Drosophila melanogaster: one gene and its partner. The gene in region 2 interacts genetically with the main gene of each other region. Each region holds a gene or a part of one and is shown on either strand. Other genes may lie near its edges.

Region 1 (4,831 bases), 2.3 Mb from region 2:
CTCTGCTCCACGTTGTTGTTGTTTTTGTGTTGAAAGGCGGGGGCGGCGGGGCGCAAATTCTTTCTCTTCTCCTGGTGCGCCATAAACGCAGCCGATTTGTACGGTATTTGCTTCGCTGTGTCTTTTGTGCACTTTTGTCTCGCGATTTCAGCTGCAGTTCTTCGTGCGATTAACTATACTCGCAGTTATTTGTTTTTGCGCGACTTTGACGCGAACGGTTGGGAATTCGGATTAAGAATGCGACTCCAGGTGGCTCTGGATTCTCCAATGTTCGAAAGAACGCCGATTTTACCTAAAAGCTGCGAGCGCTTTTGCGTGGGAGAGCCGCAGTGTTGGAAACCAACGGAATTGCGTCACGGATCCGGTAGCACCGGGCCAGCTGACTTCTGTATAAAATATGGCAGCCTTGGTTATAACGAATATTTGCAGAGAAATAATTTAAAACCAATTGAAAAATATATACAAATGAATCAAATAGTACGCATTAAAAACCGATTAATATTAACAATTCATTATAAACAAGCTTTACTAAAAAATTAACCGCCCATAACAATAAAATAAAATAATAAAAAAATGAATAGATATTATAAATATTACATAAATTGTATAATATAAATATTATAAATTCTGTAAACATAAATTCTTTTATGACTAGACCCAGTTCAAAGAAACAGCCGTACATTTCTAACAGACTAAGTTTATTTTAATAACTACACTTTTAACCACTACAAGTGTTGGTTTTCTTATATTTTGATAAAAATATACAACATATTACATAGCAATACCAATTTTGACACGGCTTTTCATTTCCTGCTCTTGACCTAACAGAATGATACATAATAATGTAGTGCAAATAAGTAACGATAAATAATAGAATTTGGTAGCATGCAGGAAATGTGTTCAGCAAATTGTGTCTCCGTTCAGATCAGCCGTTTGATTCGCGCACACACGGAATGAAATGCAGCAAAGTATGTAGTTGGATTTGCTTTGGAATAAATGTTTAAAAACACCCGGCGACACGACTCCTCCGCTCGTCATTCTAATTCCGTCCTGGTCAAATCCACAAACTCCTTAACTCCCGGAGCCGAAAGCATTAAAATCTTCGGTCCCATTCGACATCTATTCCAAAAAGTACAGACTAGAAGTTCCTCAGTTCTTGACAGAAAACAGTTGCGCAATCTTGGAGGCATGACTCTTGAAGAACTCGTAGCCCACTTTTGCGGCGCTCTTGAGAGCTCCTTGGTTGTTGAGACTGCCGTTTGTTGTGGATACGGTGATGGTCGTTGCAGGAAGTTCTCCAGCTGGCGAAGTCGTCGTCACCGCGTGCTGGTGATGTCCTCCACCAACCAAACTGTCCGGAAACATGCGCCGCAGCACGTAGTTGAATCCATTGGAGGCCTTGTTGCCATTGGCCTTAAACCGTTCGATGCCGAAGGCGCGAATGGCCCGCGAGAATCCGAACACCTGCGAACTAATGTATGCTCTTCGCACCGCCAGAGTACTACCATCCTTCTGCTCGCTGTAGACGACAATTTCATCGACTTTCTAAAAGGAAAAAACAATGATCATTAATTAGGATTAAATTAAACTTGAAAAGATTAAGTAACATATTTCACATATTCACTAAAAGGGTGCAGTAAAATAAATCGAACAATAATCTTAACCGGATCCCGATGTTCTGTATGCGTTTCATGGGTTAAATATAACAAACAATGCCACAGCATTGACCATCGATCTGTTAGGTAACACTTATGCTTTTGTATTATGCCGGTATTTCGGTCATGCCCAACAGCTAGTGGCTGAATTCTTCTAGACATTTCTTTAAATTGATATGTGACCTATTTAAAGCAATCGTAGTAGGTGTGCGATCACTTGCCATTATCTTGGTCATTCCCAGGTTCCTGGTGAAAGTGGTGAATGTCTTTTTAACCGGGTCCAGCACGGAGTCCTCAACAATCTTGACCGGCACATTGTTGTAGAAGCGAGCTCCCCACTTCGGCACCGGATTCGTCTTGGAGAGCAGCCGGCGCGAGAAGAGCTTGCCATCGCGCACCTCCCGCTGAATAGTGTCCTCGGTGAGGACGTGCGTGCTTGAGGGATTCGGGTAGCGGTTCCAGTAGGCGACCACCACGTTCATCCAGCTGTAATCGAAGACCGTCTCCGTGCGGCAGGTGGATGCTGCCACGACCATGTTGAAGGTGGACCAATGAACTCGCCGATGTGTTCGAAAGTGAAAGCCGCCGTGTCCCTGATCTGAAAAATAAACCGATAATCATCAATAGCAATCGCATGTTTCCGGCTAAAAATAGATCGCCGAATCGATGGACGTACCTTTGCGAGGGGGTCCAAGAACGGGGGTCTCTTACGGTTTTAGAGCTCCAGAGTGCAGTGTGATTGGCACCAATTAGCTGGCACACGTTGATTCAGCTAGCAGCTTGTTGTTGCCCCGACTTTGGGCGCCTACTAAGAATTTAGTTGTGTAACTGCGTCACAAACTCCGGCACAGGGTGCTTCGGGTTCGTTACCTTCAATTTCTGGCAATTTGCTGGCGATATCCCTCGATTCCTGCGTTGCCTCGACCTTCAGTGCCCCCTTCTCCTGTCTGTACACGGTTTCATTGCTTGCTTTCCAAGGGTTTGCTGCCAATTTGGATACAATTTACGCCTGTTCAAAGGCCATCCGGAAACATCTGGTCGCAAAGTTGCCAGATGGTGCGTGTGCCAATAATACCACAATTTGCATTTTCCCAACTATTTAGTATTTTACGTTTGGTTTTGCGCCAAAACGTTTTCTTTTAAATTTCACTTAAAAAATGTTTTTAAGCTTTCAATATTAATTGGCAAATATGACAAATGTTCTTGAAATAACTTAAATCAAAGGTTTGCCGGTATTTTACTACTACATTTACTATGTTAAACTAATAAATTATGAATTTATTGGATGTTGGGTCATATCTAGTTTTAATTAAATATTTAATTATTTAAATTTCGAAAAATAAAATCTATTATTTGAGAAATAGTTATTGCAAATATTTTATTGCTTAAAAATTTATAAAATTAACTCACAAATAGTTGTCATGGGAATTTTTGAATTGTGCGGTGCTTAGATACCAGAAAACAATCAAAAGTTCACATAATTAAGTACAATTAGAATAAAGAAGCTCAAAAAAATGGATGTTGTGGAATTCCTCACACGAACCGATAGGCGCAATCTAAAATCTCAAATAAGTTTCCAGGTGGCGCAAAAGATGCACGAATGGCACGCGGATTTGGACAACCGTCGTTGGAACCTCTGTCTTCTTCTCCAAAAGGAAGCCTTGGAGGCGGATGAGCAGATTGCAGAGATGCTGCAGGCGCAGGCGGATGAAGCGGATCGAAAGCGACACGAATGGATCGAAATGGAGCGATTGAAGCGGGAGGAGGCCGAAATGGAGCTGGTCAAAGTAAAGAAGCAGCAAAGGGAGATGTAGGTTTTGAGTGTAGAATTTTAAGTCCTTTTCCATCTGAAATCACCTCACTTTCAGTGAGAACTCCGAGGCCCATCGTCACATGCTAACCAAGGAGATCCTGCTGGAGTCCAAGCAAGCCCAACTCCATCAAATCGAGGAGAAAAAGGCGCTCAAACGCCGCCAGGCCTGTGTGGAGATTCTTTGGCAGCGCGTCTGGCAGAGATTGGACGAAAGTAAGGCCCAGCAGGAGCAGCATGAGCTGAAACTGCGCAACTTGATTGAGAACAGGTGCCAAGCCCACAATCTAGACACTGATCGGGAGCAGAAGGCCCAGTTCGCCAAGGAGGTGTTGGCAGACCAACGGGAATGTTCCCAGGCGTGAGTACCAGGTTCCCTAGAGATTCAGTTAGTTAATATACTAATCGAATGGATTATGTTGGTAATCCAATCAACTACCTTTCATAGCCTGGAACTGGCTGCCGAAATGGATGTGCTCAAGAAACAAGAAGATCTGAAGAAGCTCAAGGATAAACGGCGCCAGCAGCTCATTGACTTGCAGGATCAGATCAAATGGAATCTTACCATCAGCGCTCGGCAAGCACAGGCCAATATCCGTGAGGATGTGGGCTACAACATCCTCGAAGACCGCCAGATTTACGAGGAGCTCATGGAGAAGCGTTGCGCCAGGGTGAGTTTGCATGCCCGCCTCCAACTGCCTTTCCTCTTAGTCACAATGCCAACAACCCAACCCCTTCTCATTGCTCCAGATTCACAATCGCGATTGGCACCAGCAGTACATGACGCACACGGCTGCCGAGCGAGCTGCTCGCAGGGAAGAGGATCTGGCACGGGATCGGAAATACCTGGGCACTGGGTGTGTGCTTGGCCAGCAGCCGAAGCAACCGTACGGCAAGGAAGTGCGCTAGTACCAGTGGTGGACACATCGTCATCGCCATTGCCATCGATCGATGGGCACGCACTCATGTCACGCCTCACATTTGAATACCATATTGCAATTATATTTACGGCTGATATAAATCAAGCGATGGCGGCGATAAGGAAAAGCGTATCATGCACGGGCGGCATAAAACCAGTGATAATGCCCACCATCAACGTCACCAGGGAAGCTGACCAGGCTAACCCCAACTACCAACTTTGCCAGCCGCCGTCGGGCTAATATGCAAATGCGAAATGCCAGTACAGTCAAGATATTGTAATGCGAACCAACCTCTCCGAAATAAAAAATATATAAGCACCATATTAATCAATCTTCTTAAGATAAGTAAAACAATATTTTTCCACAATAAAATAAATGAAGCTACTGTTTGCTGTATCACCAATACATAATCTAATTTAACAAGCTATAACCAAACCAATAATTAC
Region 2 (5,111 bases):
TGTGGTAACCAAGACCTTCCAGGACCTCACGGGTGCGTAGTGCAACTAACTAAAATAAGTGGTGTAATAATATTTAATATTTTTGTGTGTAGTTGCTATGGGCGCGCATGGAGCCTTCTGGCTATTCGGCGCCATCTGCATCGTGGGTCTGTTCTTTGTGATTATTTTTGTGCCCGAAACGCGGGGCAAGTCGTTGGAGGAAATTGAGCGAAAGATGATGGGCCGTGTGCCCATGTCCTCGGTGGTCAACATCAAGCCATTTCCTTTCAACATGTAAATGGCGTGTTGCTAAGGATCTGAGATGCGTTCAAACCAAATAGTAGGGTGGTGTCTTCGTGCTTAAATTGTGAATTTTTAGGCAAGCGCAATAAATCAAAATTACCGTTGAAAAATACACCAATTGAAAGTTTTTAGGCACTTATGTATATGTGAGTAAAAAACATTTTCGCTTGCGATATGCACAAGATAGTGTTAACAAAGACACCAGTATAATAATATTCTAGTTACATATTGTTACATATGTAGGACCTTTTATTATTATTAATACTCAAGATTAGAGTTTTGAAATCAGTGGTATTGCTCACCCATAACTTGAACACGGCAAATGGCACAGATATCGCATTCCACATCCCAACTCCACATTGCAACTGCGTTCCATTTCTTCAGCGTAAACATTTTTTCCGGTTTGCCGGCATCTCCGTCGTCTGTGGGCCTATCCACTGAGTTTTCTGGATCATCAGCCATGTCAAAAAAGTCTGGGAAACTGACCAATCCACTGGGCTAATGAGATTCGGTTTTTTAATATTTTTTTTTTGTTTCTTGTGTATATCCTCCTGTATGGGAGATTTTAATTAGTATTACAAATAGCGGTTTAAAAATGTTTTTTAATTTTACAATACAATATATTAATTTTTTAAGGTTCTTTTATTTTTAATTTCCCTTTAATGTTTTATGTTTTTATTTTTATTTGGTAAACAATTTTAAGTTTTATTCGACCCCGTTTTTAAATATTTTTCTAACTGTTAATTTATAGGGTATTAGAAACTCTAAACCGGACCTATCTTAGTTATTGATTATTAGCAAATGGCAAAGTGGTCTAACCAGGTCCGGACATCAGTACGTAACTCAGGTTTAGGATTTTAAATAAGGTAATTATACAAATATTAGGAATATTACTCGAAAAATATGCTTAATAGGCGTAGGAGAGCTACAAGTAGAAAAGTTCAAAAATGATCAACAGGTGTTGCTTCCTTCCAACTGGTGGCGATAATTCTACGAACAAACGGTATATTAGTATTAGGGAACAGAGTAACGGGTATCTGATAGTTGAGCCATTCGACTAAGCGCATTCTTCTTGATTGTTTTTTGTTTTATGAATATTGGTAGCTGCGGAATAGGGGGATAGACTATAAAGCCTCTCACTTATCCCTGGTAAAAATGTAATTTACTTTCGTAGCAAGTGGCTGATACGAATTTTAATGTTTTGCTCAACTTGCCAAAAAGTTACTTCTTCCTCCGAGAACAAAGAAATGCCATTCTCAGTTGTATACGAAGGAAAGGTTATCACAGTGTTCGTTAAGTTGTTAACCTCACTCCTACTTCTTGCTTAGTTTCGGGCAAATGATAAGGAACCGCCGGTTTGACTTACCAACAAATAAGAAGTCGAAATAATTGAATGTAAACAATAGCAAGCCAAAAGTCAGTGTGGCCACACCAAAACAAGGGAAAACTATTTTCAGTGTTGCCACAGCCATTTAGGGGATACATTCACCTTATATGCACGGACACACCTATCGACGACCGATAATTAAATATCGATAAGGCGGTTAATTTGTTTTGTGATTTGGTTTTCGCTTACTTCAACTTCGGTTCAATTCATTTTCAGCCTTCGACGAGTGCGGAACGTTTGCGGCAGCGTTTTTCGGCCGCGCTTCTCAAGTTTCAGCTTGCGTTGGGAAATAAACGGTTGGTTTCCAATGCACTAACACAAATTTGACAATATAAATTATTTGCGGTTTCCGGTGATTACTTTAAAATGAAAACCTTCGAACGACAAAAGCTGACCGTGAATATACAGCAACCTGATTCCGATTCCGTTGCCAACCAGAACGCGCCCCGCATAAGTAATTAAGTAATTTCCATGCCGCTCAGCCGGAATCTAACAGTTCAGCCTTATTATTCGCCCATCGTAAACTGAAATTGAAAAAGATAATGGCAAATGACCCATTATCACTATCAGCACAAATGGCGCATCCGACAATCAAAGATAAACATCCCGTATCAATGCGATCCGATGCCAAATGTGCGATAAGCCGATTAAGGGAGTGGTATTTTAGTAAATAAATGTGGAGAAATTAGTTGTTTTTCACAGTAAGCAATAAATTTTCAAATAGCAAATGTAAAATCTACATAAGCCTTACAAAATGACGACGTGTTAAATGCCAATTAAGAGCAAATATCACCTGTGGCTAATGAAAATGTGCAATTTAATACAACCGCAAACAAATGTGGAAGTAACAAATAATGAAAATTTAAACAGATAAAGGTCATTTCGTAGACTTAAACACAAATGAGTGTCAAAAGCGATACGGATAAATATCAATAATTGCAAAATAAAACCCTTGAGTTGAACGCCCTTTTTTTTAACCGGAATAAAGAAGTAGCAGCTGAAGGAGAAACAGGCCAACAGCAAGTTTAATTTAATTAAATTTCGTTGTTTTCTGTGTGCGTGTGTGAGTGTGTTGTTGTTGCTTTTGTTGTTGGCTTTGCTGGATAATCAACGTAATGCTTCCACCCACATCGCGCGAAAGAGATAGCACTAGCGCAATTGACTTTGCCATAAATGATTTTTGGTTTTTTTTCTGCTATTTCTTTCTTGTTTTTTCATGCTTTTCTGTTTGTTTGTTTGTTTGTAAGTTGGTCGCTGGCAATTAGTGGAACGACAAATGTTTATTGACAAAGGCATTGGACACTTTGATTTACCGGGTCTATTCGGTTAAATTGTTTATGATTTTTAAGCGAAAATTATAGATATATGTACATGTGTATGTACATATGGGGGTGTTGTATCTCAGAGATATCGATGGTAAATGTGACACTTTGTGGGTGTATCTATAATCGTATAAAGTGGAACTCTAGTCGCTAAAAAATAAAATCAAACTCTTAAAGGCAGTTTTGTTTTCCTTATAAGCTAGATCGATAAATTTCCACAGCTTACCAGTAAATTTTCATTTAGAGCAGTTTCGAGTATATACAAAAGTGTTTAAAATTTTGCATGTGAAACTATAGCAAAGTTTCGAACATGTACATATAAATTTCAGAAAGCATATTTTAACAGGTTGTACATATATTCAAGATTTGAATGTCATAATTCATTTCAAAAGTAACTATCTGGTATATTTAAAAACCAAATTCCATCACAAAAGTGTGTTTATTTAATGTTTAAAAATGCCAATAAATGCTCAATTGCAACACCCATTTTCCAAGTATGAGTGCAAATGTTTTAGGGATTTCGAACAAGATCACTTCATGCCCCCGATGCCACAAAGCCTCGAGAAGTAAATGCAATTAACTGGCGAAAAGCACTTGCGCCCCCTTGCCCCTCCCTTTAGACCATATTAACTTGGCTTTAACGCCGTGCACGTTCGATTTGAATGACGCACATTGGCGGCTGAATGGTTGAAAAAGTGCAAAATCAACAATTAATGAACTGAACAATGTTTGCCACCTGTAACGTCTGAGGATGGTGTAAATTTCCAATTGCAAACGATGTCAAACAGAGGCGTTTTACCGTCTGCTAATTTCCCATTTTCATTTCAAGCCGAATGGCCACAAATAATACAACAAAAAATAATGAAATAATAATAATACAACAAAAAGCAGTAAAACCGCAAGATTGCGGCTATTTGCAAGCACTTTATGTGTCGTTTATGATATAGTATTACTATGCGCTGTCACTTCGGTCCGGCGATCAAATATGCAATTAAATGTAAAAAAAAAAAAAAAAATGGCAATTTAATGAACCCACATTTGATTAACCAATCAGCAGTCGAAAGTCAAATTGCTCCAAATCGCTTGTCATGCGCTCCGCGAATTTGATTCAAGCAAACAAACTGAGAGATACAAAAAGATATGCGAAATTCCAATACGGAGTCTGCGTAACTGTCAAATGTTGTAAAAAATCAATAACACAAATGTTAACATGCGCACAATGCTAAAAACGCATAAAAACGAGTCGAGCGGCCAATAAGGTTGGCAAAAAATGGCAAAACAAAAAATGAAATCAAATAAAATGAAATGAAATGAAATGCCTGGCGACGCTTTAAGGCAACTCGGTTTGGGCCAATCCAAGCCCGAGATAAAGCATTTGACACTTTTGGCTAATAAAAGTTGCTAATGAGTGCGCGCAACTCGCCGATTCCGAGTTGTTGATTTAGTTATATTTTTTGTGATCCGGCCAATCGGAAAGCATTAATAATTGGGTGTTGAGAGAGCAGTTTTACTGCACTAATTGTGCATAAATAAATAACAGCTTGTGTAATCCAATTAATTTGCAAATAGTTAAGTTGAATCGCCGAGGGAGAAGTTATCAAATGGGTAGGCTGTCTAGAAGTTAAAAGGCTATTTTATTTCCTTTAAATTGCTGTATTTTTATGAAAATACAGGTATACAAATTAAAGTTCAGGCATATTAAAAATGAAATTAAAAATAATAAAAGTTATTAACTGCTTAACCAAGAAAGAGATCATATATGTACATATATACATTTTCTAAGCATTTTATGTTTCGTGGTTTAAGAAGTATTATATATAATCTTGCATTTGAAATATGACATACGATTATGACATGTTTTCAAATTTATGGTTTTCGAAGTTCTTTTCATTTTTAATTATTGGATTTTTTAATATAAAGAATTTCTTTCTTACTATAGAACATACATCAATTCAATTATCATAAATCGTTATACATTTGATCTTTTAGGAGTTTAGTTTGAGCTTCAAGATTTTCTATCCAAATTCTCGTTTTTCTTGCACTGAACTTTGAAATAAAACCTAAAAAAATGAGTTGCTTGCTCCCGTTTTGATTAAGTATAATGTTTTAATTAACTTGAT

What was found.
Region 1: of Buffy (region 2) and prel, changing one suppresses a phenotype caused by changing the other (phenotypic suppression), as found in Drosophila melanogaster (one study listed by BioGRID).

What each region holds. Positions count from the first base shown.
Region 1 is NT_033778.4:9,421,961-9,426,791, reverse strand, and holds prel (preli-like), read right to left. Parts: upstream 2,706-4,831; 5' UTR 2,526-2,705; intron 2,464-2,525; exon of another isoform or gene 2,461-2,463; 5' UTR 2,332-2,460; intron 2,254-2,331; 5' UTR 2,192-2,253; coding exon 1,877-2,191; intron 1,546-1,876; coding exon 1,150-1,545; 3' UTR 685-1,149; downstream 1-684. Other genes in the region: CG13955 (uncharacterized protein), read left to right, coding at 3,170-3,465, 3,524-3,826, 3,914-4,136, 4,216-4,374.
Region 2 is NT_033778.4:11,677,622-11,682,732, forward strand, and holds the start of Buffy (buffy), read left to right. Parts: upstream 1-1,870; 5' UTR 1,871-1,965; intron 1,966-5,111. Other genes in the region: Roc2 (regulator of cullins 2), read right to left, coding at 585-744; Tret1-2 (trehalose transporter 1-2), read left to right, coding at 1-32, 93-277.